Rhinolophus ferrumequinum: one gene and its partners. The protein of the gene in region 4 interacts with the protein of the main gene of each other region in a pairwise test. Links are inferred from orthologs where the notes say so. Each region holds a gene or a part of one and is shown on either strand. Other genes may lie near its edges.

Region 1 (7,009 bases), on a different chromosome or scaffold from region 4:
TTCCCAATTTATTTCCCTGCACTACCCTCCTTCCCCAAATCTAAGGTTAGAGAAGGAGCAAGAGAATAGACACTTGGTATTTCTGACTGGAGACTCAGAGCACACTGTATGTGACTATCTCCACATCCAGAATATCTCCATGCTGGGTCCAATGGATTGGGGGAGGCCAGTCTCATCCAGTTCTCTGGTCATTGGAACTAGTGCTGTAGCTCTCTCTCGGTGCTATGGCACTCCCAGCGACACCTCCTCAACGCCTCCCGTCCTTTTCTTTTTCTTTCCTGCCTTTCAGAGGCCTCATCTTGGAGGCTGGTTTTTGGGCTACCAGACGTTTTATTTATTTTGCAGTGCTTACCCAACTGCCCACCAACCAAGTTCTCACACTGGCAACTGGCATCACGGGGAAAGCTGTTTTCGCTTTTAATCCCGAGATGGGCAGGTTTTCCTGGGCGGAACTTCACTGCTGGAGGTCGGGGGCTTCTTTACGTTATAAAGGCTCCCCAGCCAGGGCTGAGCGGTGCTGGTGCCAAAGCAGCCAGTATCCCAAGTTCCAGTCTCATTTGGTTCACTGTGCCCTGGCCGCCTTGCTGACGCCTCTAGTGGGTATCTTATAGGATGAAACGAAAGTGCCCATTTGGAAGATATTGTGTATGTGTGTGTGGGGGAGGGGGGTGCGGCAGTAGACGGCCTCTCTGGGCTTCTCAGAGGCAGAGAAACTGGGATGCCACCGGGCTTATGAATGTGCACCTTGCAGCCCATCCCCAGCTTCTGAAAGTGGCACAGCTCCCCATGTTCCCTTTTGAGAAGAAAACAAGTGGGTGGGGGCATAATGCTGCTCCCGCGCAAGCAGTTCCCACCCACTGGCCTCCCCACTGTCCTCTACCCACACTGGAACCCGTCTACTGTAACAAAGGCACATCACCACACATTTTCAAAGTTATCAGAAGTCTCTTGGTCAAGCAACAACCAATTCTGATTACTCCAAAGGAAGAAGAGGGACATTTAGAAAACGGTGGGAAAGATCCCCTGGGAAAAGCCCAGCAAACCTTGCCCTATGCACGCAAGGCTAAGAATTGCTTTCTCCCTGCTGGCTGCTTTTCTCTCTGTTCTAAAGAGAAGCTTCCAAGACTCAGCTAAATAAAGGGATCACACCAGAGGAGGAGAGAGAATGCTAAACCAACAAAAACAAAGACTCAAATGAAACAGAGCGAGCCATGAGAATTCGCGGTTATCAAAACTTTGTTTGGCCGTATCTATTTATCATCGCTGCACACCCGGGCTCTGCGGAATATCATTCTGTTGATGTCACTTATCCTCAGCAAAATATTTACACATCCTTAAAAACGCCAGATGAGGGGGGCCAGCCCGCGCACTGCCGCAAGCTGCCCCTCAAGCACCGTCGCCGAGTTCGGGGCGGACGGTGAGGTGGTGGGGCAAGACTAAGGGTGGCTCCGCCAGCACAGGTAAGAGCTATGGATAGTTCCCGGAACGCGGCCACCCCGGCGCTGCGCCCTGCCCTGCCCACCTCTCCCCCACCTGACTCTGCTAGAAGCAGCCACATCCCCGATATGGTGTCTGCGCCTCCTCCGTCTCCCCCTGCCTTTCTCATTGATTAAGTTCTCAAACCATTGTTAAAGCCGGGTTGCTTTTCCCTGGAAAACTGGGCTGAATTCATTAAGCTTCACCGTGCCACAAAAGGAATATTCATAAAAGTTTGGCAGGCAGAAAAGGAGGTTGACTGCGTGCCACGGGGTGGGTGACAATTCGCTTCTCCAAAGCCACCTTCTTCTTCCGTGCCCCATCCCTCTCTCCATCCATCCGTCGTGCCCCAAACCTACTCCAGGGACTTCTGATAGGGAAACACAAAGCAGCAGCTGTTTGGCAACATTTCTACCCCTCGCCGGCAACTGTGGTGGGATGCCATTTCCCCACCCAGGCGGAGCATATCCGGAACAATAGTCGGGCTTTAAACGGCAAACAAGCAAACACACAGAGCACAACCCCAACCCCGAAAAAGCCAACGCGGCGACAAGCAATAACTCCCTCCGCAGCAAAAGACATCGCGGAAACGCACGCAAAAATGCAGCGAGAACGCTGCTCGGTGCCTAACATGGCAGAAAGCCTGAGCCGCTGCGGCCACCCTGGGTCTGAACATTGGGGGGCACGAGGGCGTTCGGGGCGCCGACGCACACTCACCCGGCTCCAGGAGGTTGCGGGGCTGGCCGAGCGTCACAAAGGCGAGCCCAACGCGATCTGGCAAAACCCAACTTTCCACCCGGCTCTCCAGGGCCGCCAGATACGTCAACAGAATCCATCTTTCGAAGGGCCTGGAAGGCGCCGGGTTTTCCGGGCCGGGGCAGAGCGGCAGAGCCAGAGGCGGCCCCGTGCGGTGCCCAGGCGCGGAGTCTGCCGCGCGCCGCCCTCTGCGCCGGGTGCCAGCGCTGGTGGCGGCCCGAAACCCACTTCGGGGCCCCCGCCCCGCCGGCCGGCGCCGCCTCCCCGGCCGTCCCCGGCCCCGCCGGCCAGTGCGCGGCGCCGGGAGCGGGAGCGGGACCCGGGGACGCCGCACGGGTGGCGGCCTCAGCCTGTGCGTCCCCGCCCCCGCCCGGCCCTCCCCGCTGGCCCCGGCCTCCGGGCGCCGTCCTGCCCCCAGGAGCAGGCCCCTCCCCGGGCGCCGGGCCCTGCCAGGCGCGCCCAGCGCGGCGCGCCCCCTGCGTCCAGTGGCAGGTCCGCCCGGGGAGGGCGGGGGGGACCCCGACCCGTAGTGGGGCTCCGCGGCCGGTACCTCGCAGTCGCAGCCGCCGCCTCCAGGAAGCCGCAGGGTGGTCGCGGGTGCGGGAACTCTCGGGTCCGGCCTCGCCGCCGGCCGCCTGAAGAGGATGCGCAGCGGTGGGAGCCGCCGTCGCCGCTGTCACGGAGCTGCTGTCGCCGCCGCCGCTGCCGGTTGTGCGTGAGCGTGTGTGCGCCTGTGTCCGGGCGAGTGTGTGTCTGCGTGCGGAGCCCAGCCTTTACTATATACACCAAGGGGTGGGAGGAGGCGGGGCAGGGGAGGGCTTGGGGGAGGTGGCGGAGGAGGGGGAGTAGAAGGGGGGCGAAAGGGTACCCGAGGAGGCGGTGGCGGAGGAGGGACAGGTGATCTCGCCCACGGGGAGGGCGTGGTTGTAGGAGGCGAGGGGTGGCTGGTGGAAGGGGCACCCGGGGCGCGGGGTGCCGGGTGGGGGTGGTGAGACGCCTGGGAGGGCCGGCGGGCTAGGACCATTCCAGATCCCAGGATGGAGAGGAGTGAGAACAGAGCCCAGGAGGGAGAAAGTGGCTGGCTGATGGAGGCCGGAGAGGTGGGAAGGGCCCAGGGATCACCTCCTAAAATGTCAATTGTCATACATGTCCAAGATCCTTCTCACGAAGTGTGAGATTATTAGAGACAAAATTAGTCCACGGACAATAATCTCATTTCCACGTAATTGTTTGAGAGGTGATTCATTTATGAATCTAACATTTATTAAGCCCCTACTGTTTCCCAGACACAGGGCTAAGAACTGGAGTTACAGACAGAGATGATGAATATATGGTTTACTAACCAGTAAATAAATCATAGGTATCAGCAGTACTATTGATCATTTTAAAACAAAATAAAAAACCTAAATCCTATAAATGTTTTAAGACAGCAAAGGAAGCAACTACATTGGTTTAATTGATCCCCAAAGATGTAGATTTGTTTCCTGCTAATCAAAACAGGATGAAGATATTTGAGAGAACAGCAGAGCAGACATGACTTTAATCGGAGCAGAAAGCAGTCTGAATCTACCTGTCCTTTGCATGTTCATATGTCCTTTAATCCCAACACTGAGTGGTAACCATGATATCCCTCTTGTATTATAGAATTTGGGGTGGCCGACCAGAGTGTGAAATACATAGAGAGAAGCCTGGTTAAGTTTATAATTTGTATGGGAAGCTGAACTTGTGTTTGAAAGGTTCTGTTTGAACCTTGCTGTTTTATAAGCATAATATGGTAGAAAGCAGGGCCACATTATGATTTTCGTGGGCACGTTGCCTTTGTGGATGCGTTCCTCCATTAAAAAAATAGTAAAGATTACATTTTTCAATTGCATTAGTGTAAAGACGAATATATTAACATGATATACTAAAACATTTTCTTCTACTTAAAAGATCACTTTTTCTTCTGATTTTAAAAGAAATTAAAACATGTCCGTGGGCCCCTAAAAGGACTGTGGGCCCCAGGCACTGTGCCTACTGCCGCTAACAGAGAAGTCAGCCCTGGTGGTACTATTCCTTGATACAGAATTTCCTCTTGAAAAAAAGAGTTAATTTAAGAAGTGCCCAATCAACATAAGGGCAGAAAGACACACAGTTCAAGTTTAAGAATTGATAATAATGAACATCAACAGAAGGTACCACATCCTACTTGTTTCAATCAGGCTCTTGGGGTTTTAAATCAGCTCTGAGTAACTAATGATACCAATGGAAATATTTGTCTGTTATATGTCTTCAACCACTTCGGTAACCAAAGACTTCCTCTATGGCTCTCATAACTGTTCTGAGCCCTTGGATCAGGTATGTGAGGGCTCCGTCGCCAGGACCTAGCCTGAATACAACTAAAGACACAGCTGGGTAATTATAATGGGACAAGTTCATGGATGAAAGATTCATAAAGGTTTTGTGTGTGTTGAGGGGGTATGTGTGTATACGGTAGGGACTGATATCCTGGAAGGCAATTACTAGCCTATTTCTTTTGTTGGCCTCATCACAACCCTGGGTTAATGTTTGATCCTCGCTGGCAGTTGTGATTCATATTTGCTGCCCTTTGAGGTGCTTATGTTTTGAGGAAAGACTATATTGATTCAGATTAATGCATAATAAACAGGCATCATGGCCCCTATTCCCAAAGAAATGTACAGTGGCACCCCTCTGTATTTTCATCGTGACAACCCTTGCAGAGGGAAGGGGAAAAGAGGAGTCCATAAAGAAAGGGTCTGGATTGGGAGGGAGATGTTTTCAGACAGAAATAGGACATGGAAAAATTGTATTTACACAGTTTTAAGGGATGCCTAAGAAAATGGAGGGAAGAAAGGACATCCCAAACAGCAGGAAAGAACCACAGACAAACAAATAAACAAACAAAAACTTCATTGCTCAGGTTGATTTTTGAGATTTTTAATTCTAATATTTGGACTCAAGAAATTTCCTATCTCAGATCTGATTCTTTTGTCTCTGTCCTATTTCTCTAATACAGCATCGCCTCCTAATCTAGTTTTTGCATACTTGCCAGATGTGTGATTCATTCATTTATCCAATGAACATCTATTAAGCACCTGATGTATGCCAGTCACTGAGCTAAGGACTATGGTTAGGGAGATGTTTAACATAGGGTTGCTGACCCCAAGGAGCTCACAGTCCAGTAAATAAAGTGTTAATAATACTATGGAGACTGTGTGGTACATGAAGAGTTATAAAATCAGCCAGGTGAACACCGAAGAAGTGGGCCTACCCTTGTACTGAGAAGGCATAGGGAATGGCATGGGGCAGGGCAGTCAGAAAAGATTGCACAGAGATGGTGACAAGAGCTGAGCATTGAGAGATGAACAGGAGTTTTTCAAAGTTAAGGGAAAGGCATTACAAGTGACGGGAACAGCAGGCACCAATGCTTGGATGCAAAGCACTTTCTGGAGGCTGCAAATATTTTGTGAAGGTAGAGTAGAGGCTGTGAAGAATAGTAGTAGGGGGTGCAGAGGTAGGTAGGAGTCAGTTGAGGTCCCTGGTCTGTCCTGTAAAGGAGTTTTTTCTTAAAGTCAATGGGGAGCCATTGACAGAGTTGAAGCAAGGGAGTGAGTGACCAGGAAAGATTCGGGTTGAGGAATGATCGCTCCCCTGGGGGGTGTGAAGGGCTGATTGGAGAGGGTAAGCTTGGAAGCAGGGAGACCAGGTGAGAGAGATTTTGTCAATGATCAGAGTTGGAGTGAAGGTAGTGACAGCAGAGATGAAGGGTCAGAACTTAAGTGGTACTCAGGAAATAAAATCAACAGGACTTAATGATGGAGGAAACAGGAAGGATTAGAATGACTGACGCCTGGCTTTCTGAATTGGGTAACAGGGGGGTGGGGTGTGGCCACTGAGATAGGGGTCCCTAGGAAGAGAAGCAGATTTGGGACTGGAAATGATGAATGCCATAGATTCCCCCAGAAGCAGATCCTGAGATAAGGATTTGAGTGCAGAAAGTTGATTTGGAAGGTGAAGGAAACACTGGTAGGGTAATGGGGAAGGGAGACAGGGGGGCAGCAGACAATAGGGGGAATGTTTTCACGGCCCATTACTACCATGAGCAAGTGGAGCTTAATCTCGCAAGCAAACTCTTGGACACGATGCAAAACATGCACTCCAGAATTGTCCCACTCAAGAAGTGAGGAAGCTGGTTGAGGGCTGCCCAGAGGATGCTAATTTTCTGGGAATTTCAACTTGCCACCTGGCATAGGCAGAGAGTCCTTCTCAGATATCGGGAGAGGATCCTGGCTGGCAGCTTGGAGGTCTGTGGAACACACTGAAATGGTAGCATCCGAGGGATGTGGGTAGAGCACTGTCAGTGTTTGCTCCAGGGAATTCTGATTAGGACATTTTGAGTTGGAAGTGCCTGTTGGGTAGCCACAGAGAGAAGTCCAGTAGGCATTTGCAAGAGCAGATGTGGAGGTCAAAATCTAAGCTGGAGACCTAGATTTGGGAGTTGTTGGGCCATGGGTGTTTGTTGAACCAGTCAGTGGGTGTGGATGAGCTCTGCAGAAGACATATGTGACTTAAGTTGATGGCTGAGCCCGTCACCCTGGGCCATGACAACATGATTTGATCTTATCTGCACGAACATCATTGCCAATTTCTCTAGGAGTTCCTGGAAGCCCTGAAGTTGTAATGCCAATTTAGGGCTCATGGGTATGAATGTGTCTGGGGAAAAGCGTCTGTTGCTTTCAGGAAATTCTTAAAGGGTCTGTATTTCACTAAAGTTGAA
Region 2 (7,345 bases), on a different chromosome or scaffold from region 4:
CTTTTGACAATCAGTGGGTATTGAAGGCAGAGCTAGGACTAACATAAGTCAGAGACACCTTGCGCATAAAATTTAAAAAGATGCTATCAAACTCAGTAATCAAGATAAATAATATTTTATTGCAACATATATACCGGGGGTGCCAAAAATATGTATACAAGTGTACATTTTGGTCAACGTTGCTTCAAGCAGTAGTTCACGGTAATCAAAAGTGTCTGGACGCTGATGGTAACCACTTTGAGCACCTCTTGTAATTGCAGAAGTCAAACATGACCTGTATTCATCTTTTGTTATTGGTATATGTTGAGTATTACAATTTTAATACAGTTTTCCTTTCTTAAAATGTGTATATATTGTTTTGGCACCTTCTGCACTTTAAAAATCAGTATTAACGTAAATCCATGATGAACAAAATACGAAAACTTTAAATAAAGGCAAGATCATTATTACTGATTATTCTTTTTTTCTTGGGTTCCAATATGGCTCTGCCAGACACTACCTTCTTCTGATCTGTCACACCCTTCATTCTACCCTTAGTGCTAGTTTGCTCTTCTTTCTGCAGACCTCCCCCCTCCATCCTGTTGCACATTCACTCTGTTCCCTCCCTTAACTCTGTGTTTCCTTTTTCTTTATTCCTTAGTGTCCCCCTCTTTTTTTTTCCAGAGTTTCTTTTTCATATCTTCTCCATTGTTGGCTAGTCTTTCTTTTCTTTTTGCAGTTATCTTTTATCTGTATCTCCCTTAAGGGAGCATAATAGAAAGCAAGTTTGGTAAATTTTGTTATATGTGCCAAAATGTTAATGTGAAATTATCCATATGTACTCTTCTAAGGAAAATATAGAAATTTTCTTTATTGCTCATGTGATCTATAACCCTCAGTGAATTATTTTTGGAATAGTTCTGGGCAAGTTACTTAATCTTTCTTTGCCTCAGTGTCCGCATCTGTACAGCAGGCTTATGTCTACTTTACAGAGTAATTATGAATATTAAATGAAATCATGTACATAAAGCACATAAAACAGTGACTGTGACACTATATATACTTGAAAGTGACATCATTATCATTATGATTATTATTTCATTCACAACCTAGAGTTATTAAGACACGTGTTTCTATATAAGATGAAATCCATTTAAAGTAATTTAGATTTCAGAGGCTCTAATTTTACTAATTTATCATGGATTCAACTTTACATATCTTCATAAATGTTCTATTACTTTCCAAAGCAGTATCATGGGACTGAAATGTTTCTGGGACTGTATAGTGGGATTTGTTGAAATTATTATAGACAGTGAAGACTAAATCTGGAACACAGTAGCTTCATTTTCCATTATTCACATAGGGAAACCCTTGCAATGAATTTCATTATCACCAACTTTTTTTCTCTATAAAATTGACTTTATTTAAAGTAACACAAGTAAAACCTTGTAAAGAAGAAAAACAAATTCCTACATATAACTAATCTGTACTAAGGCAAACATATTGAAATTAGTCATAGTGAATAAATTCCCAAATCAAAAACCTGGATGTTTCCTCTGATGTTCAGGATGGATTATCTAACAGAGATGTAAAAGTTAGAAATTAAAATTATTATGGAAATTGAGAACACAGAAGAGTCAGGAAAATAGGCAACCACCCCTTCAAATGGAATGCCAGCACTAAAGCTTCTATACAGTATTTCAGATGAACCTTTGGGATACTCCAAAACAACAACCACTCACACTCAAAAAGGCCTCTGAAGGGCTGTATAAATGCTTTTTATCTCCAAAAATTTTCTTTAAAAACTATTAACCAAATAAGCTTTTAAAATATATACATCAATGCTTTTTCTTGATCTGATTTAAGTGAAAAAGTTAAATTTTACTTAGAAAATTAATTTTAAAAAGCTAACAAAACAGAGATGCACACTAAGATTTCTGGGTGAGGGTACTCACCAAAACATTTTAATAAAAAAAGTATTGGAAGCAAACTAATAAAGAAGGATTAAGTAAGTGATGGTATTTCCATAAGAGATAGTAAAATACAACAATTAAAAATTATATTCTGAAGTAGTTGCATGATATGAGAAAATAATCACAACATAGTAAGTGATAGTGGAAGAATATCTGTGTATATACATATGTAGGTACATACAGAGGGTGCCAAAAAAAAATGTATACATATTTTAAGAAAGGAAAACTGTATTGCAACTATAATACTCAATGTATACCAAAAGATGAATACAATACCAATGCATAACAAAAGATGAATACAAGTCACGTTTGACTTCTGCAATTACAAGAGATGCTCAAAGTGGTTACCATCAGCGTCCAGACACTTCTGATTACAGCAAACTACTGCTTGAGCAACGTTGACCAAAGTGTCCACTTGTATACACATTTTTTGGCACCCCTGGTATACGTATAAAAACACACGTACAACATAACCTCAATTAATTACAACGGGCTAAATTAGAGTAGAAGAAAATATACAGATATACACAATTTTACATCTGTATAGAATTAATTTCTTAAACTATTTTGGCAACATTTTCATTATGAAATGATTATAAATGAATAAATATCATTTACATTTACAATTCCTCATTTTATTATAATTTTAATCTTTCTATAATATTTTTAATTTATTAAAGTTCTATGACCCTGAACTTCTCTCTAATATTTAAAAAATAAATTTGACTAGATCTTATCCAATATAAATAATCATATGTTAAAATCTCACCAGTTGAGGTGTCCTGAAATTTTAAAGTTTGTCTTATCTGCTGTTGTGCTTTTCCTTTTGCTCCCAGTTGTACCATTCCAAGAACCAAAGTTGTTCCAAGGGGGGAAAATATAATGTTGTTCTTATGAGATGAACAAATAGCTTGATAAAGATCCACTGCAAATTCAGTATGTCTTTGAGCCAAGGATCTTGAGGCTTGACTTCCAGAAAAAGTCAATAGGAGACTCCACAACAAGATCTTATCCATTTTGACCTCTGTGCATCAATTCAAAATACATTAGTTTTCAAAACTAATAAATATATTAGTTTTACCATATAAAAAACTAAACAGAAAACTTTCTACTTATTAGAATTTTCTGTCTTGTTAGGACAAATTACCACAAGAAGATTCTAATGCCAGTTTTCAGACTAAGCATCATCTATTAGAGAAATAGGCTATAGGCTAATGGTCTTTTTTTATATTCCTTCAAGAACCAGTCCAAAATATATAGCGATTTTTTAAAATCAAAGGATAAATTATAATTCTGGAGCATAATAATTAGTAATAATATACCTAAATAGCTATATGATCTTTTTCTTATCTTTTCCTGTGGTTTTAAATGGGATAACTGTAACTTTGATATCAAGAGAACCCTCTGTCCAGACTACTCCAGAATGGTTAATAAATCAAAAAAGAGAAATGGAATAAAAAATGAACACACTCCTTTGTGATTTGGGACCTATAATGTTACGGAGTTAATGTATTCTAAATTGATTAAGTAATCTGGCTTTTTACAATAGGAATTCTCACACTTTATGAAATGTGTAGGGCAAAATACCCCAAAACCCACATGTACCTTTCCAAAGAGAGAAAAGAAACAAAATTACAACTAAATATAAATGGTACAGCTATAACAAAAGAAGGGAGCATTAAAAAAAATCAAAGAATAATTTGACAAACAACAAATATAAGAAAACTTCAATTGAAAACTATAACCGATTCACAACAACAGTAATGAGACCCTATTAAAATACTCTCCACTAAAACTGCAGGAAATTCAACCCAAATTACATCTTGAACAGAATGAATTTTGCAATTTTACCAAAGACTTTTGGAATAGTACACTCTGAAGGACTCATACGTTTTAGCAACACTAATTTTACCTTATAGATAATACACTTTAGTAACCCTTAACAACCCATAGTTTAGTAAGTTACTAGGAAGTAAACTTTCATTGGAGGTAAAGATGAAAGCCTTCAAAATAATGTATTGTGAGCCTTAAAGAAATGAAGAACTATCTTTCTAGAGTGTTTTGCACACCATTAGGAAGGTCACCATGACCCATGAATGGGTTATGAGTCACTAAAATCACTCTTACATATAAAGATTACTAATAGTCAAACATTCTCCAAAACTAAGCTGTGGAGTCATTATCTAGATATTTCAAATTGTTTTCTAATATATGTAGTTAAATCTATTTGTCTAGATATACAAGTTGCAAAGGAAAATGTAATCCAAATTTAATCCAAGGCAATTGTTAGAAAATAGTGTTTTGATAAACTACAAATATAAATATATATATATATGCTATCAAGCAAATGCTTTACCGAGGATTAAATTAGAATATAAGATTGTAAATAGCAGCACAACAATAGTAAAAGCTAATGAATAAGAGAAGTTATACATGCAAAATAAATTTCTGTGTATCATTTTCTAATATATTATATATCTCAGAAAATTTCTGCCCAAATGTTGGTTTGTAGATATATAGTCAAAATGTTATCAGTACTTTTAAGTCATCAAGTGGCATTCCATTATGTACATCTTTATGTATTTAGTCTGTATTAGAAAAATAATATTACATAATAATATTACATAAAATACATAATTTTTACTTATAGTAAAACCTGGAAGTTTTCCTCTCATTATTATTAACAACATTAACACTTAAAAAGTACATTATTTGAGCATCCGTTTATTCTAGAACATTTCTAGACACTTAATAAATTACAAGTGCATACAAAAATTGGTTTTAAAAATTCACTTACCTCATTGGCTTTGGATTGTATCTCATCAGAAATCACAAAGTACTGATGAACTAAACAACCTGACGAATAGTTCTATAAGAATTTGATATTTAAATGTGTGACATCTTTTAAGGAGAATAAAGAGGAATATGCTAATCTGATAAATTTAAACACTATCTACCAAAGTTTATTGGAATGTATTCCTATTCTATTAAATACTCAGAGTCAATATTATAGCATATATACTATATTCATAATCTATTTAATTTTAAGGTACTTACCCCAAATTTGCTTCTGGGTATTCACGGTAATGTTATAACTAAAATATCCCTTCTGGGAAACACTAGAACATGGAATACCTGATCGGTCAAGGCCAACTCTGTTTATCTTGAACACTGCTTGATTAATTCCTCTAAAACCAAAGCAGGTGTTCACCACATTTGTATAAGAGGACTCACATGATCAGGTTAATTACCAGTGATGAAATATCGAAGAATCGAGAGAGAAAACAATAATAGAATTTTAAAAGATCATTAGGTTTGTATTATTATCTCATCCATTATTTCACTTCTTTTATTAGTAGAAACTGAATTTGAAAGAATATGCCTGTGCTTCTAAATTTGCTAGTAATTAGTTCTTTTTGTTTCTCACAGGACTCCCATATCAGATTACCAATATATTCCATCATAATATTTCAGAATGCCTATGAGAAAAAGAATAAAGCTAAATCAAGTCCAGAATGCAGAGACAAATTACTGCTGCAGAATTCTCAACAATTCATCAAATTACACAATAGTCAAAGGAATTTCCTGTGGATATAAGGTCCATTTGAATCCTTTGGGAAAAAACTGGATATTGAAGAAATATAATACTTATGTTGTTGAATAAAAAGACCAGATTAAAATTATTGATTTACCAAATTATACCAAGATAATACTATTCAACATAAGGAATTTGATAATAAACATAGGTTTTACTTTTACATGATTTTTAAATTTTACATGATTTCGTCTACAGACAGTTCATTAATAAAAAATACATCATTGCATCATTGAATGGGTTTTGATGTTATTGTTCTAGTTCAAATCAATCACGTCAGTGGCAATCAGCTATTAAACACATTGGATTATTTGTTAGTGGCCTCTGATAAGAGAAATGAAAATTTAGTTCCAGACTCAGAGATACAGAAATAAACTGATGGTTTCCAGAGCAAAGGAACATTGGAGAACTGGGTGAAAAAAGGGAAGGAATTAAGAAATACAAATTTGTAGTTACAAAATAGTCACAGGGATGTAAAATACAGCATAGAGAATATCGTCAATAATATTGCAACAACTATGTATAGTGCCAAGAGGTACTAGACTAATCGGGGGGAATCACTGCACAAATTACATAAATGTCTAACCATTATGCTGTACACCTGAAACTAATATAACGTGATATTGAAAGTCAACTGTAACTGAAAAAACAAAATAATAATTTAAGCTTTAAAAAACATGTTCCAATTACAATTAAGCAAGTATTCACTATTGATTACTAAATGTAATATTGTTTCTGATAAATTCATTAAAAATAAATAAAATGAATATAGATACCTTTAAAAGGAATTATTTTTGAAATACTTTTTCAAGGACTCTGTTAACAATTTTCAGTCCTAATAGGGCTATAGCTTTATAAGAGGCCTGAGTAGCCTGATGACTGTTATTGGCCATAATCTCCTAATTTACCACGATTCTTTTTTTTTTAGTTAAAGTTTATTGGTGTGACAATGGTTAGTAAAGTTACATTGGTTTCAGGTGTACAATTCTGTAATACATCATCTATATATCACATTGTGGGATATATATCACATTCACCATCCAGAATAAATCAGACAGAAAAAGTTGAGAACGATATGATTTCACTGATATGTGGGATGGAAAACTGAAAACAACAAAGGAAAACCACAAACAAATAAAGAAACCAAAACTCGTAGACGAACATTTTTAATTAACCATCTAGGTATCTCTCTTTTATTTTTCTAAATTCTGGGTTATATCCTACCACTACTTAATCTAACATAAACAATCTCATTGCCAGCTTTCCACTTAACAGTGTTAGAGATAATTTTCCGGAACACAGTTATGCAACGCAAGAACCCTATCATTCTTTTTGTTCTACTCTGCAATTACAAATAATAAGTCTGAATGTCCAAGACTGTCGTTCAATCAATGCTCTCTTACCCACGTAGTGACACCAGCAAACATCCATCACAAGTACACTTGGCTACCAAATTATTATGTCTGTACATTACTTGGATCATAATGCGATTTCCCCAGGAATAGGCCATTACTTTTCCTCCCAGTGACAGAGACAGACACTCTGTCTTAGTAAGATCATTTAATGAAGTTGTTCTGTAAGGACCTTATGGTAGAGCAGTTCATGAAGAATACATTTTCCTGTCTCTTGGGAAGTAAAAAGCAATGGCCATGAATTTCTCCTCCCTGATTTAAGCTACTTTAATACCTTTTTAATAAAGATAACCTAAGTGTCCATAAAATGTTACTGCAAACCTTTTAAATATTTTCAAAAATCTGTTTCTTCTACAACTCTTATGTCGCCCCTAACACATCAGGAA
Region 3 (7,695 bases), about 49 Mb from region 4:
TCTTTTTCATAGGGAGCAGCAATGAACATGCTGAGTGTGTCCCCATGGTAGGGCAATTCCAGGATGTCGTAGTAATGGCCACCAGGGGTAGAAAACTCAGCTGTGAAGACACCAAGATGGCACATTGAAAATGGCTCCAGTTCTTGATTCCAACCCGGCACTGGGTTTTCAACTAATTCTCCTGTCTCCTCCACTCTGGAAGCCAGCTCTCCATTCTGGCTTTTGAGGCTCCCACACCCACTGCTGTCCTATTCAATGTTTTCATTCCCATTTTCCTTCTCATCTGCCAATTCAGTGTCTTCTGGTTTCTCGTCTCTTTCTGGCCTTCTTTACCTTCACTGCCCTCTCCCTAATACCCGGTCACTATTCCAGTCTTCATCTCCTTAATCTCAACTTTGACATTGCCCTTCCTTCCCCCAGCAGGATTTGTAGGCCCCAGGTAACCGCACTAGAAACATATGAGGATGAGAGCGAGGGGTCAAGGGGTCAAATGTGGGCCTGAGGGAATTGCTGGATTTCATTTTTGTCTTGCATGAGATAAAGCTACTTTCTGCTGCTCCAGTTATCCTGGTGTCTCCTTCTCGGGGAGTCTTTGTTAAAGCTGGGCTGTATTCTAGGATTTCTCCTCCCTTCGATGGGAACACCCGGGGTGAGATCCAGTAGGTGTGGGACTTGGGGAAGGGAGTCTTGCACTTACTGTAGTTGAACTTGTTGGTCTGAGCCATCATGGGCACGGAGACTGTGCTGCCATCGGACTTGTGGAAGAGGCGCTGGTGGGTGCCCGACTCTGGGAAGGGAGTCTTCCAGTGGCCGTTGAAGTAGAGGGCATTCACCAGCACCAGGCGCGTCAGCTGGTCCACAGCCCCTTTGCCAAGTATGTCACTGATCATGCCTACAGGAAAACCAGGTGATCAGGAGCTAGGTATTTTTCAGTCCTCTTCCATAGTTCCTTCAGCTCCCAGGCCTCTAATGGGTGTGTTTCTGTTGAAGCCATCCAGGCAGAAAATAGCCTGGGGGTTTAGGTGAACCAATCTAGCTATTTTCAACTCGTTCCATCTTCCTAAGGGTCTCAGAAAACCTCTCAGCTGACCACACTTCCTGGGCCTGAGATCCTGCCCAGGATCCGACCTGGAAACTTTAGTCTTCCTTTACTTTGCTCCCTAAGCTGCAGTCTTGAAGGGTTGTGTGTGCTCCTCGTCATGGTTATAACTGTTCTAAAGAAATCTCACAGCACTTTTGGGGGATGCCGTTAGAGCTGGTTCACAAGAAGGCCTAATTCTGAAAAACATGACACTGATTCTTCAAGCACTTGACCTTCTGTCTACAGAGAAGAGAGTGCTGAAAGGGAGAGGTTAGGATATTTGGGATTTGTTTCCAAGCCACCCTTTTTGGCAGGCCTTGGGATGGGCCTCCTTTCTCTGCCTGTTGCTCACCTTTCGTGTGTCTCTTCACCCAGTCATTAATGATGAACCTGGCTCTCTCTATGTCTAAAAAGTCCACTTGCTTGACTGTGGTCCGGAACAGCCTGAAGAAGTGAGGCATGAAGCCTTGAACCAGCTTCATATCCCGCTGGACAAAGATGGCATCGGCGATGCTGATCTCATCCTTGTTCCATGGTCCCACGAGCTCCTTGTACAGTTGACGGAGGGCAGGGGCCATGCCCTTCTCTGTGCCGAGGGAGGAAAGGATACATCAGGTTCATGTTCAGCCAAGGATTCCCAGTCGGGCCATCTTTCCCCATGAGACGCCTTACCCTGCCCTCATGAACGGAGCACTTCTCCTCCCCCAGGGGTCTCTGGAGGGAGATTTTGTTCCAAACCTTAATCTCTTCTGCATCTCCCTCTTTTCCTCAAAAATCTCAAGTCTTAACCCTTTCTTTGTGTTAGAATATTTTTCTCTGTTTTTAAGCTATGAACCCTACATTTCTTCTCATATTAATAGTAATAGCTATGCTAAACATTGCCTATGTGCAATTCTATTTACTCCTTACAGCAGCCCTCTGTGATGGGTCCTTTTTCCATCCCCATTCTGTACATGAGAAACTGAGCTTCAGAGGGATTAAGGTTATACAGGTACTAAGTGGTGAGCAAGGTTATTTTACACCAAATACACTGGCCTGTGCACCTTGTGACTAAAAATGTGTTGGTCCCTGTCGCATGGCAGCGCTGGCGTTGGCTCAGCCAAGCTGGAGTCAGGCCTTTCCTCTGCTTCTGGCTGGTTAGACCCCAGTTCTGTGAAGGCAGCACGAGTGCCTGCCTCCTACTCTGCCGCATCTCTTACCTTCAATCTTGAATTGCATTGCCTCTTGGATCTGCTGCCTGGTTTCTCCTCTTGTTGTCAGCTGCAGCATGGCCAGGACTGAGGCCACCCCATAGGGTGAGAAAACCACATTGCGATCCTTGGAGACCTGTGCCACCTGCTGAAACACCTTCACTCCAAAGTCTGTTGCCAGTAGGGCCGCCTGAGACCTGCGTTGGTACGATGCGGACCCTTCACCAAAGAAGAGAGCCAGGCCCAGGGCTAGGCAGGCAAAGACTGGTGACATCTGCATCCTAGAGCAAGGGGGGAAAGAGCTGATGAGGGATGGTTCTAGAAGGATGGCGAATGGGGTGGGGAGACCATACCCCAGCCAGGGGCCAGGCTTCCTGTGTTTGCCACTGGCAGGTGATAAATGAACACGAGGTCAAAGCTCATTAAGAAACCACAATGGCTTCAGACTCTGCAGTCACTGCTCCGGCAGGGTCAACTTCGGGCTGCAGGTCTGGGGGCTGGCTATAGACAGAAGGAAAGTGGGGCTCTGGGACAGAGGAAATTCTGCGGAAGGGCGTTCTCCACCTTCACCCGAGATAAGAGATGAAGAGTTTGTTTTTCTCTTACCTGAAGTTCTCAAAGTGCCTTGTGACTGGAAGTTCGTCCTGCTGCTGCTGTTGATTGTGGCGATTCTGCTGCTGGAGAGGGGGTGTGTCTCTCTTGACAGTGCCCTGAGCCCTGCAGCCAGACGCAGCTGTGCTGTTAAGGAGCCTGCTGCCTCCCTTTATACCAGAAGTGGGCAGGAAATAGATTAACTCATGGCTCAGCCCCACCCACTTTCTGGCTCTGGAAGTCTGGCTTGCTGAGGCATGTGTGTGCGTGCTGCTGTGTGTGTGTGTGTGTGTGTGTGTGTACGTGTGAGAGACGGTTCAGGAAGAACTGAGCAAAACTCAGTTGCCTAGGTACAAGGACCTTCCCTGATGTGGCTGCCCTCCGCCTGTGTCCCTCTCTCTTTGGATGTTATGCCAGCCTGATCCCCAGCAGTGCCAGATGGCCCCAAATGTCCAGTGTTTGGGATTACCTTCCCCTGTGCTCAGCTTGGGGGAGAACAGTTCGTATTTTCTCCTTTTCCTTTGGAGAAATGGATCATCACAAGTTATCAAAGAAGCTCATGGTCCTGTGGACTTTTGTCTGCCAGCGCTGTCCAGCCCATGTGCTGGCCAACCTGAGGAGAATGCCCCTCCCCCCTCTTGGCCATGTCCCAGCGGCCACAGGGCACAGAGCGTGCCATGTGATTGTCTGGGTTTTGACTGTCTAGGACGTGAGCCTGGCAAAGGACTCCTTCTGTCTTTCCCTCTTTCCTTCCGAGTGTCGGATGATGCATGGCTGACTCCCGCATGTGTCCAGACTCTTGAGGTGCCCCTGAGGGCTCTCTTTTGTGTCAACAGCCCTGTTTGGCAGGGGTTTGAGGTGTGCTGGGTGGGGTGGTGGAGGTTGAAAAGGACCAGGGGTTACTGGAGTAAATTCTTGCCAAGGAATTAGGAGTCCAACATGTAAGTTTTGTTTCTCTGAGCTGCCTGCTGTGACTGGGGAAAATTAAACCTTATCCTTTTCCTCCAGATGCAGACACTTGCGGGGCTGGAGCAGCGGAAGTAGGGATAGAAGTGAGGGTGTCAGTTCCTAGGGCATTGGGTTAGAAGTAGAAGAGTGACCCAAGAATTCTACAGAGAGTGGAAATTGGCTGGAGGCAAGTGTGTGGGATCATACATGTGCATCTGGGGGCCTGGCGGCGGTGGGGTCAGGCACCCTTGGCTATGTGACCTGGATGTTTTGGACAGAGGGGCTGGGTGCCATGGGGTCCTGCACTTGACCTGGGGGTACACACACGATCATACTTTGTGTAGGTCATGTGGTTCAACTGGGAGTATCCATGGAGACAGCCGATAGAAGATTCACAGGAAGTTTAAGTGGGTGGAAGTGTCGGGATATTTGTTTTGGATTTTTCAGTAAACAGACACCAAGGGCAACCACAGCTGGATGGCTTTCCTAAGTTTATTCTTCCTCCGCCTTTGTTTTCTCTGTTGCCCCTGGGAGTCAGGTGGGCATGCAGGGTGGCAGGGAACAAAGAGCAACCTCGGTTGGAAAGTTAAGATCACCAACCCATTACAGGACTGTTCCCATTTAGTTGCTTCTTGTTTATTCCTTTTCCTTTTCTTGGTTGTGGTTTGGAGTCCCTGAGAGAGTAGTTAGCTCTGAGGAGGAAGTGGTTATCCCTTACTTCTCTTGGGTGGAGAGGACAGAAGTCCAGCCCCCCCACCCATGTCCTACCCCCAGAAATGCCCCCAAAGGCTTGCCTTTGGGGATCAGAGGGAGACAGGAACCTGGGAGTCTGGGTTGGGAGTGCCAAGTCCCAAGTTAGAAGAGCAGCGTCCTGAAGCAGCTCCTTTGAATCACCTCACTGCCCGGCCTCTTCAGCCACCTTCGCTGAGCCTCCTTCTCTTGCTCCATCTCTTATTCCAGGGGCCCTTCGCCCTTGCCTTGCCCGGCCTCAGCCGTAAAAGCTCCTGCCGTTTTCTGTGGATGGCCTGGGCCCTGCCAGGAGAGTGACCAATTCTGTCCCCGCTCCTGGACCTGAAAGATGCTCCTGATGCCGTTCCAGAAAAGACTGTCCATCCTCAGGCACAGGAGCCCGGGAGCAGCTCTGTGTCCTGTGGGGGGAGAGAAGGGGCGCTGGAAACAGAAAGGGCTGACTTACTAAGGGGTTTGTCTCCAAACTGGAAGGGACTTGTAGACATCTGGTGGGTGTGTATTAGAACTGAGGCAAAGCCTAGTGGAACTGGGTCCCAGAGTTTCTGATGAGTTGGCTGGGGCCACTACCTGTTCGAAACCAAGACTTGACCTTGGTCCCTGCCGCTCTTTCGTCTCTGTAAAATGGCCTTGCCATCCCCTATCTGCCCTCCGGAGACTTCCCACATGTCAGGTACAGCCCGACCACCTGCTGTTCCCCATAAGACCTCCCCACAATGCCTTTCTCAGAATCTAGCCTGACTCAAGGGACTGTCACTTTCTCTCTTTTCACTGAACCCCAAAGTAACAGCCTTGACCCAATCACCTCTTTGAAGCCTAGGCTCTTTTGTCAGGGGTCAAACGGACAGAATGAGAAAAGTCCCTGTGTTGTAATAGTTGGATCCCTGATTCCCGTACAGTCAGAGATAAGAGGGTGAGTTACAAGGCTGTGGATTTCTGGGGGAAGTTCCACTTCCAGCCAACGGGGAAAGATGTTTCATCTGGCTCTCGGCAGGTGGTTCGTGACCAGACCAGAATCACACTTCCCGTGACTGTCTCCCTCAGCGCCCCCACACCCCATGAGCTCTGGTTCAGTTTGGGGCCGCTGGTCTCAACCTCCAGCCCTTCACCTCCTGCCCTCCAGCTGCCCTCTTGCGCCCTTGGCCCTTCCTCTTTGCTCTCCCAACACCAGCCATTCACCCTCTTTTGCACTTTCCCTTTGTTGATCTCCTTTGTTCAACCCTCCCTCTACTGGATTCTTTCCCATTCCTTCCCCAGGTCTCCAAGTCTTGGCCACGTGAGCGCTCTCCCCATTTTCCCACTCTCTCTTTTCTGTTCTCTGTGACTCAGTCCCTCTTTCCTTCTCCTCTCCTCTTCCAGAATCCCTTTTACAGTCAAATATTCTGCTCCCCGCCTTCCTGTGGGAAGGAGAGTGCTGCCCCTGTCAGTTGCACAGGCTCCGGGAATGCTGGAGCAGGCTTCTGGATTCCTGGTGATTTCACTGGGAGAGCCGGGGGTGGGAAAAGGAGCAGGTCCCACTAACTCACAGCACTATTTCTGACCTGGTTGCTCTCCAAACAACATAACTGCCAAAAATAGTCCGTGTTTGGGCTAGGCTCACTCTGTCCTTCTCGGAGGAGTGAGCTAGGGCGAAGGCTGTGTGCCTCAGCCTCCAGCTCACGTCCCTGGGACAGCCTGACAGCGGTGTGGCTGCCTGGGCCTGCCGGGAGCCTTCCTCACACTGCTGCCCGGCCCGACTTCCCTCTCCTGGGCCTCCACAGCCCCTCTCCTTTCTGTCTTCTCCAGCCCCCACCAGCCACCGTTCCTGAAACTCCCCGTAACACTAAAATCTGCATCTCCCCACGGTAGCCCTTGTTTTCCACAGTTGCTTTTTTTCTCCATTTATATCTAGAATTTCAGGGTCGGAGGAGGGGGGAGGCTCCAAGAACCACTTAATCCAGCTTTGAATTTGCAGGTGAGAGCCCTGAGGTCCAGAGAGGCTGAGTCACGTGTTTGAGGTCACACAGTGACATACAGCAAATGGCAGAACAGTGCTCATTGGAGCAGCCAGACCGGCCTGGTCAGGGGTCTGACACTTAGCTGGTTATGTGTCCGCAGGCAAAACTTTTGTGAGCCTCAGTTTTTTTATTTGTAGATAGGTATGTCGATAGGAACGGACAGATAGGCAGATAATGATTTCCATCCTTCAGGTTGCTGTGAGGGATAAATGAAATATTGCCTGTCGATGTCTAGCATATTCTAGGCTCTCGCTAAGGGGCGGCCAACCTTGGTTGGGGCAGAGCCAGGCCAGGAACCTGGGCGGCTTGAGATGTCAATTTTGGTACAACACAAGCTCCTTGTTTTAGGCAATCTTTTTTTACTTCCCTTGGCAGCTAGTGGAATAGATGAAATGCGTGGGAAATGGATTGGCTGGTTATCAGAAAGAATGGCTACCAGCCCCTCCGGTCCATTTCAGGCCAGATCTTCCTGCTTCCACCCCGGTCCTGACGTGCTCCCATTGGCCAACTTCGCAGGTTTTAGATCCCAGTAAGATTTTCCTCTATGGCTGCCGGGTCACAGGGGGACCCCCACTGACATTTGACACATGCCCTGATCCCTTCAGCATACGGAAGTTGGGGGAGTGGGGCTTGTTCTACCAACAGGTAAAAACAGAGCTGAGCTTGGCCCCCTTGACCCGTTCTCTGCCACCTGTGTCCCCTATCTCTTGTTGATTCCCCTATAACCCCCATAACCCTTCAACCACTTTTATGTATATCTCCTTGACTTACAGTCATTTCTGTACGTGTCCTTGAACTTACTGTGGCCATTGCCATGTCTTATTTATCCTCATTTCAAAGGGGGAGCTGAGGGGGGCAGTATCCTTTGGGGGATACCACTCATGATGTCAGCGTTCGATGAGCACAGAGACTCACACAGCTCCCTCTCCCCCCGGGCAAGAATGAGCCTCCTCTCTCGGGGAAAGAGGCAGAGGGGGCGAATGGGGCCCAGGATTGCCACGAGGGGAAGTTTGGGGCAGGAAAGGGTGGAGTGTGCGATTTCTGGGGTCAATATGACCACAGAGCCCCATGGTGTCAGCCGAATGAAGCAATGCAGGCCTCAGGGCACCCCGGGGACACCCTGCTTGGACTCTCTCTCTCA
Region 4 (7,935 bases):
GAATAAATTCTCACATTAGAAGATAAGCAAATTTTCTGGTTAGAGACTCAGATGACGAGTACTGAATATTTGTTTGAGAATTATACTCACCAAATAAACCCTCAAAAATTTAAGTAAATGCAAATTATAGTAAGAGAAATTTCCACTTATCAAATTGGTAAGGATTATAAATATTAAAATGCTCAGTGTTGGTAAAGGTATAGGAAACTAGCATTTACATACTCTGCTGGTGAGAGTATAATTTGGTAGAAACTTTTTGGAGAATATGATAGTAAGTACCAAAGGCCTAAAAGATATGCATGCCCTTTGATGTACAAATTCCATTGCTAATAATTTACACTAAGGAAATAATTAAAGATTTGGAAAGAGACTTAATAGCAAGAATATTTCCTTAAGCACTGTTTAACACATAGTATGAAGTTGGAAATAGTTGACATGTCCAAAAGTAGGGATTAAATTATCATACACCCCCAAATGGACTACGTTGTAGCTATTTGTATTATGGAAGGATGGTTACATTACATAAAAATTATAATAAACATGGTACAATCTCATATTTGTAAAAAATGGTTATGTAGAAAAGATTTTGGAAACTCTTAACAATTGGTTCTTCTAGATGGATATATTATATGTATTTTCATTTGCTTGTCAGTATTTTCTAAGTTTTCTATAATGAACATGCATTGCTGTCATAATTTTATAAACCAAAGCTTCTTTTTTTAATTAAAAGAGGAAACTAGGGTTATTATAGCTATAATCCGAACCAAATACTGCTGGATCATCTTTCTCAGTTGTTTTTTAACCATGCCATCCACCCCTCACTGTATAATATTTTTTAGATTTTGCTTGGCTCACATGCTGTGCATTTTGGCTGAGTAGCAGTTTAATTGCTATGGCAACAACAATTGAAAAAAATCTTAGATATAATTTAGTCTAGTCCTTTTCATTTTACAAAATAAGGAATTCAACAGAGATCTAAGAGACTGAGGGATTTATTTAAGGTTATAAGGTTTGCTGTACAGTAACCCCAGTCCTATCTCCAGATTCCCGGTCCACTTATTAACCCTCAGAAACTGGGTTAGTGCTTCCATCAATGATCCTGGATGCCAAGCTGTCTTTGGGAAGGGTTATAGCGACTCTGCCAATAGGATAACCCACGAGAAATCAAAGTCAGTTGACCAAAAACCTAATTAACACTTATGATACAAAAATGAGCTCCCAACTGTCAGAGGAAACAGGAAAAATATATCAAGAGAACATACAAGGCCTTCCATGTTGTCTAGTATTGATTCCTTTTGGAAGACACAGATTTGGAAACAAAGAGATTCTGTGATTCAGTCAGGTCTGCCATCCTTGGGAGTGAGGGTATGGGGAGGGGTCCTTGAGACCATTTCAAGGAGTTTCTGAGGTTAAAAATATTTCATAAGAATACTAAGATGATATTTACCTTTTTCACTTGGTTGACATTTGCACTGATGATGAAAAGCAATGCTTTGATAAAACTGGTGGCACCTTAGAACAAATCAAGGCAGTAGCACCAAACTGCTCTAACAGTCTTTATATTCTTTACTGACACTCCCTCATGCTAGAAATAATGTCGATTTCACTTTAGAATGTTCTTGATGAAACAGTAAAAATTATTTTTATTAAATCTTAATGATTGAATATATATGTGTAGCAAAGCATGCATAAAGCATTTCTGCTTTCTGAGTACAATGGTTTTCCAGAGGATTTGGCTGTCCAAATCAAAACCCCTTGTGTAACTGATTGAATTATGAGCCAAAATAGCTGTTTTTTTCATGGAACCCCATTTGTACTTTAAAAAAATGACTGACAGACAAACCGGTTATTCAAGCTTAAGTATTTGGCAAAAATTTTATCTGAAATGAAACAAAGTGAACCTGTCACTTCAAGGAAAACAGCTGATAGTATTTGTTACCAATGATAAAATTTCAGCTTTCTTTCAAATAAAAATTAGAATTTCGAAAAATTTTCTGCCACTTTTAACTTGCCAGCTTTCTAATACTTGAAGACATTTATGATGATGGATGATGACATTAAAGGAATACAATTATGTTTGATATTGTATAATGAAATGTGTCAAAATTAGGAAGAACTGTTTAACACAGTGAATCACTATTTTTCAAATAACAATGTTTGATGTTACAAAATCATGCATGAGTAAAAGATCCATTCACAGTGTAAGATAGACTCATGGATTTTAATGTAACAGAACAGAAAAGTACATATACAGTTTCGTATTCCACTTTGCAACTAACCTTTATAAATTACCACTTGTCAAACTCTGATGGGCTATCAAAGAACATCCATAATTGTCTAAGAAAAGCTCCTAAAATATTCCTCTTTTTCCAACTACATATGAATGAAAAGTGGGATTTTCTTAAGACAAAACAGTGCAATAAATATAGAAGCAGATGTAAAAATCCAGCTCTCTTCTATTAAGTCACACATTTGTTTTGACAAAGTGCAAAACAACGCCACTTCCAGGTTGGTTCTTATAAAAAACAAACAAACAAACCCCAGAAAACAAGTGTTGGTAAGGACTGGAATCCTTGTGCATTGTTGGTGGGAATGTAAAATGTTATAGCTGCTGTGGAAGAGTAATGTGGTTCCTCAAAAAATTAAACATATAATTATCACATGATCCATTAACTCCACTTCTATGTATATATCTCAAAGAATTAAAAACAGAGACTCAAACAGATATGCGCACACCAATGATCACAGCAGCATTGTTCAAAATAGTCAAAAGGTGGAAATAACCAAAATGTTCATGGACAGATAAACAAGATGTGGTATATTCATATAATAGAATATTATTCTGTGTTAAAAACATTATGCTAAGTGAAATAAGCCAGTCACAAAAGAGCAAATATTGTACAAGGTACCTAAAATATTCAAATTCATAGAGACAAGAAGAATAGTGGTTACCAGGGACTGCAAAGGGGATAAAAAGTTACTGTTTAATGGATATAAAGTTTACATATGGAATGATGAAAACTTCTGGAGATAGTGGTAATGGTTGCACAACAAGGTGAATGTACTTAATACCACTGAATTGTGCACTTAAAAATAATTGAAATGGTAAATTTTGTGTTATGTACGCTTAACCATAATTTTTAAAAAGCTGAAAAAAAAGCCAATGCCACTTTTCTCATTTTTTTGAATAATTTTGGAAAATGGTTATTTTTCATAAAAATGTTATTTATCCATGTAATGAGTTTATTACTGTTTTTAAATAAACAATACTTAAAAAATCTCCCAGTTGTCATTTCTAATAGAGTAAATATGGAAAGATATAAACAGAAGTTCTTGGTCCTGAGTAATTCCAAGAGGTAAAGGGGTCCTGAGACTAAAAAGTTTGAGAACCACTGTCTTATATGAAATGTATTCTCTCTTCGTTATGTGAAGACCTTCATTTGTTGGTATAGTTTCATTTGACAGCTATACCATTTGCAGCATGCAGACTAAAAGGAAACCCTGACATATGGTCAAAATCATACTATTGTCCCTTGGATGCACCTTAACTATAAAGGAGCAGCACAAAGCTCCACACCGATGAGTGGCAATGCACAATGGAAAACTGTTTAAAAGCTTTAAATCCCGATATGTTTCAACGTAGTTTTACAAGTATCGAGCAAGAAACACACATTTCCTTTTTTCTGTTGGATTTTCATTCAGACTTATAGTTCAAGGCTAGATGTGGGAAGGGAGATGGTAGCTGCATTGTTTCTGAAAAACCACTCTATTTAGCGCATCCATGCAAAGGATTCTCTCACCATTTTGCTACTGGTCTGTTGAGGAGGGTGGGGTTAGGGAGCTAGGAGGCAAACCAAAACAGCATCCGAGGCTGCCCCAAACCATGGCCAAGCAATAATTTCCTCCATTTTGGGCCAAGTCAATTTGCCCAGACAAAAGGTCGAGTATCTTCTGGGGAGGAGGTAAATAAAAAGGGTATTAGAAAGCCTGATTGGAAATCATCAAAGCACAGCGGTTTCATCTTGCGTGAATGCTAAACGATTTGTATGCTAAGTGTGTGAGGGGCAAACGAGAACCGTTATTCTTGAGTCTACAGCTGCGGCACTTTTAATGACGGATCTGCAGTTCTGGATAGGGAAGAAAGACAAATGATTTTCTTATCCGGACCATCTTTCTACAATCTTTTCGGGCCAGGCCTGTGACCAGTCTCTTTAACTGCAGCTGAGGCAGTTCCAAACAAAGGGGAATGGATACTCTCCCGAGGGAGAAGACAAGAGAAAGGTGGCCCTCCGGTTCTCGCGCTAGGTGGCCCTCAGGGTAGAGCGTGCGGGTCACGAGGAGGGAGGGTCCCAGGAGAGTCGTAGGGATGAGATTGGGAAACGCTGGGCCCGGGCGCAAGCCAGCACCGGGGCACAAAACCCCGCCCTGCCCACTGTCAAGGTTAACACGCGCACTGGAGGTACCTGTGGAGGTCTCGCACAGCCGAGAGGCACCGGGTGATCATGGGAGCGCCGAGAGGCGGCGACGGCGAGCGTGCTGTCCTCCGGTTTGGGGGAGAGGAAGGCGGGGCGCCAGTGAACCGAGAGGTGGTCTAGCCGAGAAGCCAACAGCGGCTGCGGCGGTAGCAGCGGAGGCAGCAGCTGTTCCTACGCGAGCCCTCCCACGTGCGGCAGCTCCACGCCGGCGCCCACGACAGCCACCGCCCCCCGCACCGCCCCCCGCACCGCCCCCCGCACCGCCCCCCGCACCGCCCCCCGCACCGCCCCCCGCACCGCCCCCGCACCGCCCCCCGCACCGCCCCCCGCACCGCCCCCGCACCGCCCCCCGCACCGCCCCCGCACCGCCCCCGCACCGCCCCCCGCACCGCCCCCGCACCGCCCCCCGCACCGCCCCCCGCACCGCCCCCCGCACCGCCCCCCGCACCGCCCCCCGTGCGTCCAGCACCGCCCCGGGGGCGGTTCTGATGAGACCTAGCCGCTGCAAGCGAATCGCACAGCCAGGTGGGCTGAGGGGCGGCGGTGGCCTGGGAGCCGGGGAAGTTTGGGCGACCCGTGCCAGTGCCGCGATCCGGGGCCAGGCTCCAGCCCTGAGGACCAGGGGGCGGGCGTACCCGCTGACGGACGCCCGCGGGCCCGCTGCCATCGTCTTGCGTCCTCCTGCCTGGTAAGGGGCTTCTGTCTGGGAAGGGTGCATCCCCTGACGCCCCAGATCGGGCCTGCACCGCGCACCCTCAGCAATACCCGTCAGGGCGGAGGCGAGGCCCGGGTACCGAAGGGAGGAAGGAGGAGGTCGATGTGATCTGGGGAGACTAAGGGAGAGAAGCCTGGAGGAGGCTGGACATCTCCATTTCCCTTCTGCACCCTCCCCTGTCCCCCCATTCTTTTTTTCACCTTCTGCCCTGGGGCCTTATTTAGTACTTGCGACCCCATGGCCTAGAAGCGGGGCTTGCCTTTAAAAATAAGCACACAAATAGTAAACATCCTAGCAGCGGGTACCACACCCAGGCTTAGAATTAGGGAACGGGGGAGCAGATGGATGATGCGATTTAGTGGAAATAAGCCATTAATGCCGGCTGGCCCTGCGCCACTATTTGGATGCGATAGTATTCGGAGTGAATGAACATGACCAGGAGCTTCCAGCTTGTCCACGAGAGCACAGCTACTGCAGAGAGCACTGGTCGGTTTATAGTATCCATCGACTTCGGCAATGATTTCCTGACATGTCTGGTGATTGAATAGAAATGCCATTTTTATTAAGAATGACACTCAGTCGAACAACCTTTCGTTAATATATTTCCTCATCAAATAACTGTCTCAGCCTACCAAAGTAGGTGGAGTGTAAATTAGGCATACATTTTTAAAAATCTCATGAAATAGAGGGACATGCTCAGCGTGGACCAGCTTCTGAGTCAGCAGTATGAATTCTCCCTCAGTTGAGCACTGAGGCCTTTTGGGGACTTCTTGTATCTTTATCTATACCCTTATCCTTGTCTCTATCTGTACCATGTATATATACTGTTAAGATATAGTGAGATATTCAGTTAGAGTCTAAGCTTATGTTGTACATGTTTTGAGAAAGATTTTACTTTTGCAAGTTTTAACATAATCTATTACTACCGGGTATAAATAAATATGTAATACATGACCATAACAACACTGTGCTCTCCTGACTCTTTAAAAATAGAAAGGAGTGAAGGTAATACAGATTTCAGCTTTTGCTTTATACTTAAAAAATTTTTTTTAATTAAATTTGTTGGGGTGACATTGGTTAATAAGATTATGTAAGTTTCAAGTGTACAATATTATAATACATCACATGTATATCGTATTGTGTGCTCCTCACCCAAAGCTTAGTCTCCTTTGGTCACCATATATTTGATCCTCTTTCCCCTCTACAACCTCCCCTCACCGTCACTTTTAATATAATTTATAACCCTTGTTATTTATAACCTTTCTGACCGATTCTGTAAAATAACTTAGTTCAGTGCTTTTCTTTTTCTTATCAAGGAAAAGTGGTTAAGCTTTTAAAATGTCATCTATCAAGCACCTAGTTTATGCAGTTATCCGTTTCTTACGGGAACAAAGTCAGGTGGACACTTATACTTCAGATGAACAAGAAAGTTTGGAAGGTAGGTACCTGTTCTTTATGTTCATTTGTGTTATAATTATAAAGACTTAAAATAGCTATAAGCCTGACTTTGATCTATTAAAATCAGAATATTTTGTTGATCTTTCAAGAGAGACCAAACCATAAGGTCATCATGTTTTCATTCTTTGAGGCTTGTTTTGTTTGTTTTAATTAACCTGAGAAGCGGACTACTGTTACATTTTTTGAACTGCTATCATGTGTCAGAACTATGCTATTCGTATTGTGGAGAATTTTTTCTTTACAGTGAATGTTAAGTTAGTATTATTCCCATGTAACAGATAAGTAAATGAAACCAGATTAAGTAACATAACACAGTTAATATGTGGCAGAGCTGAGATTTAAATCCTGATTTTTACTCTGAAGATCTTATTATCTCTTCTTCCTAACAGAAAAGCATCCATTGAGACTTGCTATATAAAAATACCTTAGTCATCATAAAAGCACTATGTGAAAGTCTAATAATTATGTCACTATTAAGCTTTGACAGCTCCCTACCTGGGGACTTGAAATGAAATGAGAGGATTGCACCCCCGTTTTATGTGGGCTTTAAATACTAGATTCGGTAATCTGTAAAATGCAGCAGGACTTGGATGACAGATACCATCACATGTTTCCTTGACGTGTTCCTTTTCATCACGTTTTCCTTTTCTGCTTCATGTTTATACATTATAAAATTTACATTCAGTATAACCATAACAAGATAGAATTCTGCAGGTGGGCTTCTGGAGGTTCAATGAGCCTAAAGACTTAATTATTGCAATGAGACAGTGCATTTGGGAAAACTTACTGACAGTACAATTTGAATTTCCCATCTTGAAGCTGTTTCTCCTGTAAAGGGGATACATCTATTAATTTCAATAAGCACTTCCCTTGTGAATATGCTTTTCGGAGGTAGGGATGAAAATTGGGTATTTGTTCTAAAACTGCTTGTAGTCTGGTGAGATGATGTCTTTCCAGGTGGCATTGAGAGAAGCAGGTGACATACAGTCGCACAACATGGCCATCAGTCCATTTAATATTAAGGTCTTTTGTTCTTGATGGTTAGACTATAACTGAAGGTAAAGGTGACTGGTTATCTAAGGAGGATGCTGGTTGTGGCTGCTCTGTAGCAAACTGATAAATGCAGTCATTTAAGAAAAGATGTTTCTTTTCTAATCAAAGGCACTATAACACTTTTAAGGGCCAGAAGGAAAATTCAGAATTTTTTAAAAACCAACATGTTATGTCCTATTTTTAGCATGGTAGTCAGCCAAAAATATGTGCCTTCAGCTGTTTGTTATATATGGC

What was found.
Region 1: the proteins of SGTB (region 4) and RAI2 interact in binary tests that used the Homo sapiens proteins (3 or more experiments, as listed by UniProt). The link is inferred for Rhinolophus ferrumequinum from reciprocal best matches to the Homo sapiens genes SGTB and RAI2.
Region 2: the proteins of SGTB (region 4) and SERPINI2 interact in binary tests that used the Homo sapiens proteins (3 or more experiments, as listed by UniProt). The two-hybrid records come from large-scale screens. The link is inferred for Rhinolophus ferrumequinum from reciprocal best matches to the Homo sapiens genes SGTB and SERPINI2.
Region 3: the proteins of SGTB (region 4) and SERPINE1 interact in binary tests that used the Homo sapiens proteins (3 or more experiments, as listed by UniProt). The two-hybrid records come from large-scale screens. The link is inferred for Rhinolophus ferrumequinum from reciprocal best matches to the Homo sapiens genes SGTB and SERPINE1.

The regions. Positions count from the first base shown.
Region 1 is NC_046284.1:113,087,575-113,094,583, reverse strand, and holds the start of RAI2 (retinoic acid-induced protein 2), read right to left. Parts: upstream 3,023-7,009; 5' UTR 2,783-3,022; intron 2,512-2,782; exon of another isoform or gene 2,194-2,511; intron 1-2,193.
Region 2 is NC_046285.1:74,329,366-74,336,710, reverse strand, and holds the start of SERPINI2 (serpin I2), read right to left. Parts: upstream 3,020-7,345; 5' UTR 2,969-3,019; coding exon 2,722-2,968; intron 1-2,721.
Region 3 is NC_046290.1:91,217,768-91,225,462, reverse strand, and holds the start of SERPINE1 (plasminogen activator inhibitor 1), read right to left. Parts: upstream 3,020-7,695; 5' UTR 2,878-3,019; intron 2,553-2,877; 5' UTR 2,552-2,552; coding exon 2,281-2,551; intron 1,668-2,280; coding exon 1,434-1,667; intron 893-1,433; coding exon 698-892; intron 101-697; coding exon 1-100. UniProt on the Homo sapiens protein: Serine protease inhibitor. Inhibits TMPRSS7. Is a primary inhibitor of tissue-type plasminogen activator (PLAT) and urokinase-type plasminogen activator (PLAU).
Region 4 is NC_046290.1:42,025,211-42,033,145, reverse strand, and holds the start of SGTB (small glutamine-rich tetratricopeptide repeat-containing protein beta), read left to right. Parts: upstream 1-4,919; 5' UTR 4,920-5,163; intron 5,164-6,506; 5' UTR 6,507-6,528; coding exon 6,529-6,628; intron 6,629-7,935. Other genes in the region: NLN (neurolysin, mitochondrial), read right to left, coding at 4,464-4,504. UniProt on the Homo sapiens protein: Co-chaperone that binds directly to HSC70 and HSP70 and regulates their ATPase activity.